Linked DNA regions of Oryzias latipes. The protein of the gene in region 1 purifies or fractionates together with the protein of each later gene. This does not show direct contact. Links are inferred from orthologs where the notes say so. Each region holds a gene or a part of one and is shown in the gene's direction. Other genes may lie near its edges. The genes, in order: med13l and cdk19.

Region 1 (4,455 bases):
TAGTTTAAGCAATGTTTTTCTATTGTTGTTACAAAGATAAACATTTCAACACATTTTCTGTTTAAGTCATGCATAAATCCAAATAATTCCAAAAGGTTTACATACTTTTTCTTGCTACTGTGCATAGCAAATATACAGCTCAGTTGATAAGGTACAGGACCGTAAGAACAAGGATGTATTAGAATGAGACGACTCAAGTAATCCTACTCAGAGAGGTTACATACATGTGGAGTGAATGGATGCTGCACCCACAGTCAAGACTTACTGCAAAGCAAACACTTGCACAGTGTTCCAACATTCACAATGTCAATGAGAAGTATATATTTTAACGCTCTTAAAGCATATTAAGATATGTATTTGGGTCATTTTCGAATTGGAGGGCATTTTATGTCGCAACCATCACATTATGAAATGTTCTGCATACAAAATACAAAAAAAAACAAAAACAAAAAAAAAACCCTGCAGTTAATAAAAAGGACTTATACTGGAACAAAATCTACAAAAACTACAAGAAAAGAATTCCTACAATTGTTTAAAAAATACCAAATAAGCATTGAGTGCCCCTAAAAAAATGCGATTTTATTCCTTGTCCCACCCCCTCTATGTCCAAATTTAAATCTTCAACAAAACAGTTATCAAAGGAACAAGTGTCCCACAATGTACATGCAACCCTTTACCATAACCTTTTTAACATGGTAGAAGAAGAATTACTTATTTACAAGAGTAAGTTCGTCCTCTTGGTGATCAATAACAGCTAGTTAAACAACTGGCTTGCACTCCTGAGAGATAGCTAAAATAACATTTTCGACCCTGTTACCTGCAAAAACATTTGGAAAATGTTGTAAACAACAAATATATAATTTAATAAAAAAATGTACAATTGATCAGTAAGTTTAGCTATTCAAGCATTTGACAGTTTAATACTTATTGATAGATATGCAGCAGAAGATCAGAAAAGTGAAGGTTTACTTTTCAGGAATTTTGAAGCCCAAATGTCCTCCAATTCTGGAAGGACCCATATATGTATACCTTTATAATAGGCCTTTATGTAATAGTAAATAGTAATGTAATAGTATTAAAAAAAGAATCAATCGTCTTAACAAAATAAGCAGTAACAACACAGGCCTTAATTATTGGTATTTTCCATAAAAAAACAACTTCACATGTTTTTGTTTTTCTTAAAGCTGCATCAAAGAAACCTGAATTGTAAAAGCCAGATTCAGGTCACGTGATGACAAAGTTGGCCAACTGGGAAAAGCGATTCTGAGCTTCAGACCTCCATTACATCACAATGCGCGATGGTTTTGCGGCAGAAAACAAGACGCTTTGGAGCTTCGAGTAAAAACAAGCCCACTCTCTCTCTCTCTCTCTCTCTCTCTCTCTCTCTCTCTCTCTCTCTCTCTCTCTCTCTCTCTCTCTCTCTCTCTCTCTCTCTCACACACACACACACACACATGTGCGCACACGCACGCACGCACAGGGTGACACATTCGGGCTGCGCACGCCCATCTCAGTGTAATAACGCCGCTGCGAGACATAAACAATGAGGAAGGAGCAGTCGCGGTGGAGGAAATCATGCACATGTCTGAGGATTTAAATCAACAATCAATTCATTTCTCTTGAAGAAAGCGGATTCATTGGGGGGAATCGAACGCACGCCACATATTCTTTCCTGTCAATAAATTCGGCGCCAGACGAGGAGGGCCACTTTTTTTGTGTGTGCTGCTTCGAGTGTACATTTTTTTGTAGAAATAGTACTGGATGTTTTTGAGCAAGACTGAGGCTTTTGTGGCCGCGCGAGGACGTTTCGTAATGATAGAAAACTGAAAGGAAGGAAGGATTTTTTTCTCTAACCTCCGTCTACAGTCGCCTGCCGTTTTCCTGCTGTTGGAGTGTTTTACTTTTTTCTTGCCTGAGCGGTTTGACTCATGGTTCTGAGCTCGACTTTGTCCCCCCCCCCCCCTCCCCTCTCTCATTCTACAGCCTGCCCGATCGTTTGATTGAAAAGCAACAGAGGGATTAAAACCTTCGTTCGTGCTCGCAGCGCCTGTTTTGTGTGAGCCTGGCTGGGTTACATTGTGAGAGGAACGGTTGTGGCAAGAAAGAAGGCTATAAATAGCGCATGCAATTCTCGAAAACTATCACAAGTGGTGCATCAGCTTGTTGGAGCAGACGGAATCAGATATCCTGCATGTGATATCTGCGCGTTTATTATTTCTCCGCGCCGTCGATCATGCGCATGCGGTTCGTCTAAAGAACAAAGTTGATGCGTAATTTTGCATTTTTCTGTTCCTGGGCGCAGAAGACGGCACTCGATCTCTGATGGATTATGGTGATTTAATTACGAAACTATCCGCGGACAGACTGCTCTGGAAAGGGTCTGGTCTTTTGTGTGTGGATTGAAGAAATGGAGCTGCTCTCCGTCAGCGATCAGATGTGGAATCGCCCGGACCGGATTGTAATGTTGTGATCCCCGCACATGCTTGGATTTATTGCGTTCAGGCTACAAGAAAGCTCGGGCTTCATTGGATGCATTCTGCACTTCTTTCTGAATACGCCCATTCCTCCACCGACCATCCCGTACAGCCTGTTATCCGGGACCTCCTTGTGAGGGTTTAAGCCTGCTGGTTTCGGCAGACTCACAAGGGGAACCGATTCGTCACCCCCTGCTCGGTGCTAGCAACCGATGTAGGATTTCGACATGCCATGCGCTGACGACCCCAAAGGCGGACGATTATGACTGCATCGGCGAATTGGGTGGCTAACGGGGCAAGCCTTGAGGACTGCCACTCCAACATCTTCTCTCTGGTACGATAAATCCTGTTCATCACACACACACACAGGCAGGCAGGCAGTTGTGATCGACAAAGTCATAAGACCGTGGGAGGCACGCTTCAGTGTGTCTGTGCGCAAAAGTGAACCAAACGCTGATGTTATTTGACAATCATTAACAAAAGATCTCCAGTAAGGCTGTTATGATGGCACACTCCACATACCTAACCAGCAGGAACTCTTCTTATGGTATTATTTTACGCATTTATTGCCAACAATTGGAAAAACGAAGCTGTCTTTCTCAAATATATTTCTATTGAAATATTTCCTAATAATAGTTTTATGTGTGAAAAGAATTCCATGACCTCAGGAACACTGAGGAAACAAACATGTCACACAACAAAGATGGCTTTTGGCAATCAAGCATATCACTTTCATTTAATATATATGTAAAAAATGGGTTGGTTTTTTTTTTTGACTGAGTGCAGTGTCATGCTTTCTTGTGCACAACTCTGGTTTTTGAGGGCGGAGGAGAAAAGAGCAGAGTGTTTTCACAGTTTTCATCCTGTAGTCAGCGAGTTAACTGTCTTACCACAACAGGCAGTCAAGTGGAAAGGCATGCAGTGGACTGGGCTCAGGCTGCTGAGAACCACAACAACATAGGGGTCCTGGGGGCTTTTCAGGTGAGGTGCAGGTTGAGGAGCAATAACAGTCCCTATTACATTAAACAAATCACTGCAAGGGTACACAAAACATGTTACTAAAGGAGGTTTGAACGAATGATCACAAAGAGAGTGAGGAAATATTTCCTTTTTTTACAGCACTGTGTAAAAAGCAGGGAGTGTGTGGGACTTAAAGCTACCCCATTAACTTTTTAAAAGCATCTTGTGTGACTTTCTACGCATTCATGGGGAGATGCATCCCAATATAAGCAGTCTTAAATCTTCTCAGCTTGACACAATAGAAAACAACGATTGCATTTCTGTCACCGTCTCATTCGTGGCTATTCCCTTGTGGGGAAAAAAAAAGCTCTCATTCACTCACTGTGGCTTTATTGGCCATCGTGAACATCCCTTTCAAACTGAGGGTGAACGAAACCATCCATCAGCCGGCTTGTTGAGAATATTTATGACTGGCGAGTGCCTCAGCAGTTACTCACTGGCAGGGTTCCTGCAGGGGAGTCCTGGATGGGACAAAACACTAATGACACACCAAGTGTCCTGGTTAGAGGCTACAGTGACAAATGTAGGGATGGAAAAATGTATCGTTGGGTTTACAGTGAAGGAATGTGCAGGGAAAGGTTAGAGGTGCAAGTTAGGATTCTGCAACACAGCAACAGATTTTTAGCAAAGTTGCAGTTGTTGGGTATATATTTGTAAGTTGTCCATGTGTTGCATTCATCCCTTAACCCTGTTTTCACTTATTAGACTAACAAATGGGTTGCGTGTCCAGATATGGGAAATTCTAAGACTTGAATTACAGGTTTTTACGTTTATCCTGTTTAAAACTTGCAGTTTTAAATTCATCTAGCTGCACAAAGCTACTTTCTAGGGATACCACAATTGTCACTCAAAAACCGAACCACATGTTACACCATTAAACCGATTAGGGAATCCCTACTGTATACCAGTATGTTTACATTGAATGTGTCCAAAAGTTGTGCTAAATTAAAGAAGGTTTTAG
Region 2 (4,464 bases), on another chromosome or scaffold:
CGGGAGCTGCTGTCTTCCCGAAGCAGCCGATGAATGACTCAGCGTTGACGGACCACACTTAGGGGGAGGTGGCCATTTTCCACTGTTTCCAGGGTTGCAAACTAACCAACATCAGGCTCAAAGACCCTAACTCCACAATTTCACTAGTTAAAGCTTTAGACATTTACGGTTATTTACGGAAACAACAACTAGTTACGTTAAGGAACGACGACGTAGCATAGCAACGAGGCCGCGCATGTGGTCCGGAGGCTAACGACCAAACCACTGACTGACGGAGAAGACAAACCTTGGGATAGAGCGGAGGTCCCCGGTGCCCTTAGTGTCATCCTGGCGGCAGAACCAGACCTCCAGCAGCTTCTCGGTCCCCTCGAAGAAATGTGCACCGTTATCCTGATCCTCCATCATCATGATGAGACAACAGACACCTCAATAGTCTGTCAAACCTTGGTAGTATGGTTTACAGCTTAAAATGGTCGTTCCTTGGTTCGCTTTAACTTATTGAGGTACAGTATTTTAACAATCTGGTTGTTTGCTTGTCTTGAGTTACCGTCTTCCCTGTAGCAGAGAACAACGTAAGCGAGCGCTAGCTAATATCGCCGGCCATACTGTGTAGAGCACTGAGGAAGCGGCGCGCGGTGATTTTATACAACGACGCCGTTACGTCAGCGGTGCGCTGAGCCACTCTCCTGGTGAGGTTTTATTTACTCCTTTATGATTGGTCCAGGGATCTGTCACTCATGACTCAAACACTGTGACGTAATAGACACGTTCGTTTATTCTTTAAACTTGTTTAGGTCTAAAGAAAACTTGTAAAAGTCTAAAGTATAATTAAAAAGCTGTCTTTTTTCTATCAATACTTATTTTGTACTAATTTACTTGGGTGGATGATTGATTGTTTTTTTTTAAATATACAAGCAAATACATAAATACATTTACTTACAATTTTGGAGCTCAAAGATTAATTTTCTCCACGAATATAAAAAAAAAAATAATGAAAAGACAGTATCTACTCTATCTTTTATAGAAAACAATAGTAACAGGTCAAAATATTTGAGGTTCCCCCCTCATTTGAATCCTTTATCCAGTAAAATTATGATCACATAGGCTATAACGTATAAATGCAATATAAAAATTAGTATGCATTTGCTTTGTTAAGAGATATACATACAGTTGTTTTCATTATAGTAGTTTCTTTAAACAGGTTTTTTTTACTCACTGAGAAAGTTAGATTTTAACAACAATAATTTTGATAATTTTTTTTTTACTTACGGAGAAAGTTAGATTTTAACAACAACAGTATTTATAATCAAATAATTATTACATCATAATTAATACTTTTTAAAATCTTTTTTCTCTTATTAAAATGAATACTGCAACTACTATTAGTGGTAAAACAAGTTTTAAGGAAATAATATTTTCAATTAATGGCTGATGTTTCAGACAAAAATTTCCATAAAGTCAAACAGCAGAGGAACATTTTTGAAGAAAGTTCTTTAGTACGCAAAGTGCAACAAACCGCATCAAGAAACGCGGGTAGTAGTTTATTTTCCTTCTCTTTACTGTTTCCTCAATGGTGTCAACGTCCCATTGGAACTACACTACCCATCTGGCAACACGCGCCAATTAGAAACGTCAACGAGCCAGTGAACATTAAGCGGAGCAGACCAAAATCCCAAACAAGGAAATGGTGGGGGAATAAAACGACCAGATTATTTAATGAATGCATGTAATAATTAATATTTTATTTTTTTGTAAATTAAGACGTATTTATGGGTTGAAATGGATTACGACTTCAAAACAAAGCTGGCAGCGGAGAGGGAGAGAGTGGAAGATCTTTTCGAATATGAAGGTTGCAAAGTGGGTCGAGGCACCTACGGGCACGTTTATAAAGCTAAGCGCAAAGACGGGTAAGAAGATAACCGTGAACGTTCTTGTTTTGTTCCGAAGTCTCATATCGACCGCTCGCTGCTGCTCGCGGTCTCAGATCTCACTAACGGGCCGCGCGGCTCGGTAGGTTCGAAACCCACCAAGGCAAAAACCTCTGTGTTTTTGTTTTCATGGAACGCACGCGCGCACTCACTCACTCACCCACCAACGCCCCCTCCCCACGATTACACTCATTCACACATACACATAACATACAAATGCGCGCGAATACCCCCCCCCCCTCTAAACTAAGTCCCAGACGAAATGTTAAAACAACGCGGCTGTTGTTGTTGTTTTTTTTATCGAGGGGGGGGGGGGGGGAGTTCACGCGGACGCAGGTCGACGTGACCGCGTTGCGCCTCGCGGCTTTTTTAGGCAGCAGCTTTGGCTCTAGTAGAGACGTCAAACTTTAGTAATAGTTTGTCACGTGTGTACCTCCAGCAACACCTTTGTTGTTAGATCAAAGGAGCAGGAGGAAGACTCAGATGCTCCCATGACTGCTGTTTCATAGACCCTCTGTGGGACTTTGAAACAGCAGGCATGAAGGCTCGGAGTTTAAAACAGAAGCTGTGGGTTTTTGTTTGAAGGTGGAGTTCATCAGTCTGTGGTCAGTCAGAGGTGATCTTCATGATGTTGCTTTTAAAATTTGCAGTTTTGTAGGAAATCGGTACAGATTTGTTAGAACTTTATGCTGTTTTGTATTTTGAACTTTTTTTTCTGCAGCTTGATAGGGCTGCATGGTTAGCACTCTTGGCGTGCAGTTCCTGGTATGAATCCTGGCTGGGACCTTTTTGTATGAAATTTGCATGTTTTTCTTGTGTGTGTGTGGGTTTCTTCCAGGAACTCATCTTTCCTCCCACAGTCCAAAAATACAATCAAGGGTTAATTGGTGACTCAAAATTGTCCCTAGATGTGAGTTTGTCTCGTTGTGTGGTCCTGTGACAGACTGGTGATCTGTCCAGATCTTGTCTGTAAATGAGAACTGGACCGACATCACCCATACAAAATGGCTTGCTTCTGGTTCCACTAAATGAAGTCAATTCAGTTGCCTTTTTTTTTTTTGCAATATGCATGTTGCTATGTTGGTAAGCAGTGATTGATCTGAGTAAATGTTTCTATGGCAACAACTTTCGCTAATCAGGAGTGAACTTGTTGAAAGTCCACACCTTTATCAACTGAAAGCGTGCCTAGGAGAATCTGTCAATGAAACGCTTCAAACGTTCCGTGTTAGACCACATACTTTTATTGAGGCATCAGATTGGTCATTAATGTGAATAGCTTGCACTACAGAAAAAATATGGGAAAATAAATTAGGATTAGCAAGAACATGTTAAAAAGGGTAGCAGAGCTAGAATGTTTATTCGGACCTATAGAACGACTGAGTAATATCTGTTTATTATTCAATAGAAGTCTGTGGGATTTGGGCTGCTAGGAACCAGCAGGTACTTCCTATTTAGAATGTGATGGGAGAGGGATTACCCAGTCCAGTTGTCATGTGCAGTCAATGGGCCAATTCGCCCAATAGCAGCTGGGATGGGCCCTAGTAACCCCATTACCCCAACAGGTATTCAGCAGATTTGGATGATGGATGGATGCGTGAGGTGGACACAAAAGGACCGTTTGGGCCTCAGAATGTCATACCGTCAAGAAAAGCTCACAACCTTGAAAGCAGACTGACCTTATCAGATGTTGTGGCTAAAGAGTCATCTCTGGTTCCCATGACGACAGAAGGGTCACAAGAATTATTGTTCTGTTTCATAAAACAGCTGTGAATGTTTGTAACACACACATATTTTATAAATCAAGTAGATATTGATCTTACCCTGTAAAGTTCAGAAACCGGTCAACGATAAAAACAATAAAAGCTCCAGTTAAAAAAATCTCCTGTTTTGAAATCCAAATGTTGTCTCTTTCTTCCTTTTTCAACCATGGAAAACAAAAGACAGAACCCTACGGTTAGGTTCTGAAATACTCCTTGTGGGACCTACTGCTTGAGTTGATTCAGAATCTCTGTATATTCATGTTTTCATAGGGACGAAGGGAACATTGGACGATTCTTGGAATGGGGTTTGTTTCAGTGGATCGTCCATTGTGTTGATGAGCTGGAGGTTCTTTTAAATGGATCAGGAGGTCAAACTTGTTTTATTGTTCACGCTTCGCTTTCCTTCCCAGACTTTCTTTGGGGAGACACTGTGTGAAGTGTGAAAGCAGCCTTAAATGTTTACATGTAGGATGAAAGTGGTATGGAACTGGACGTCTTGACTGGGTTTGAGTTTTTTTCGTCATCTGGGATGGTCAGATCAGCGCTGCTGATTCAGCCACATACCTACACGATGAGTTTCACAACACTCCATTGTGACTCTGGCTCATCTGCCGGTACGGTCAATGAAAAACAACTTGTACAGAGTTAATAAAGCACTCCAACCATTTCAGTTAAGACATTTAAATATGAGTTTGTTTTTCCCTCCTTAATGCAATTGATGAATCTCACTCATTGCTTTATTTACCATACCTCAAGTCTTGATATTTCAACGTACG

The links.
Region 2: the proteins of med13l (region 1) and cdk19 purify together in Homo sapiens (affinity purification with mass spectrometry; 5 studies listed by BioGRID and IntAct, counting the BioPlex papers as one, with this or other methods). This does not show direct contact. The link is inferred for Oryzias latipes from reciprocal best matches to the Homo sapiens genes MED13L and CDK19.

The regions. Positions count from the first base shown.
Region 1 is NC_019870.2:12,442,589-12,447,043, forward strand, and holds the start of med13l (mediator of RNA polymerase II transcription subunit 13-like), read left to right. Parts: upstream 1-1,529; 5' UTR 1,530-2,736; coding exon 2,737-2,808; intron 2,809-4,455. UniProt on the Homo sapiens protein: Component of the Mediator complex, a coactivator involved in the regulated transcription of nearly all RNA polymerase II-dependent genes.
Region 2 is NC_019882.2:10,351,584-10,356,047, forward strand, and holds the start of cdk19 (cyclin-dependent kinase 19), read left to right. Parts: upstream 1-1,411; 5' UTR 1,412-1,684; coding exon 1,685-1,687; exon of another isoform or gene 1,688-1,761; coding exon 1,762-1,907; intron 1,908-4,464. Other genes in the region: amd1 (S-adenosylmethionine decarboxylase proenzyme), read right to left, coding at 287-408.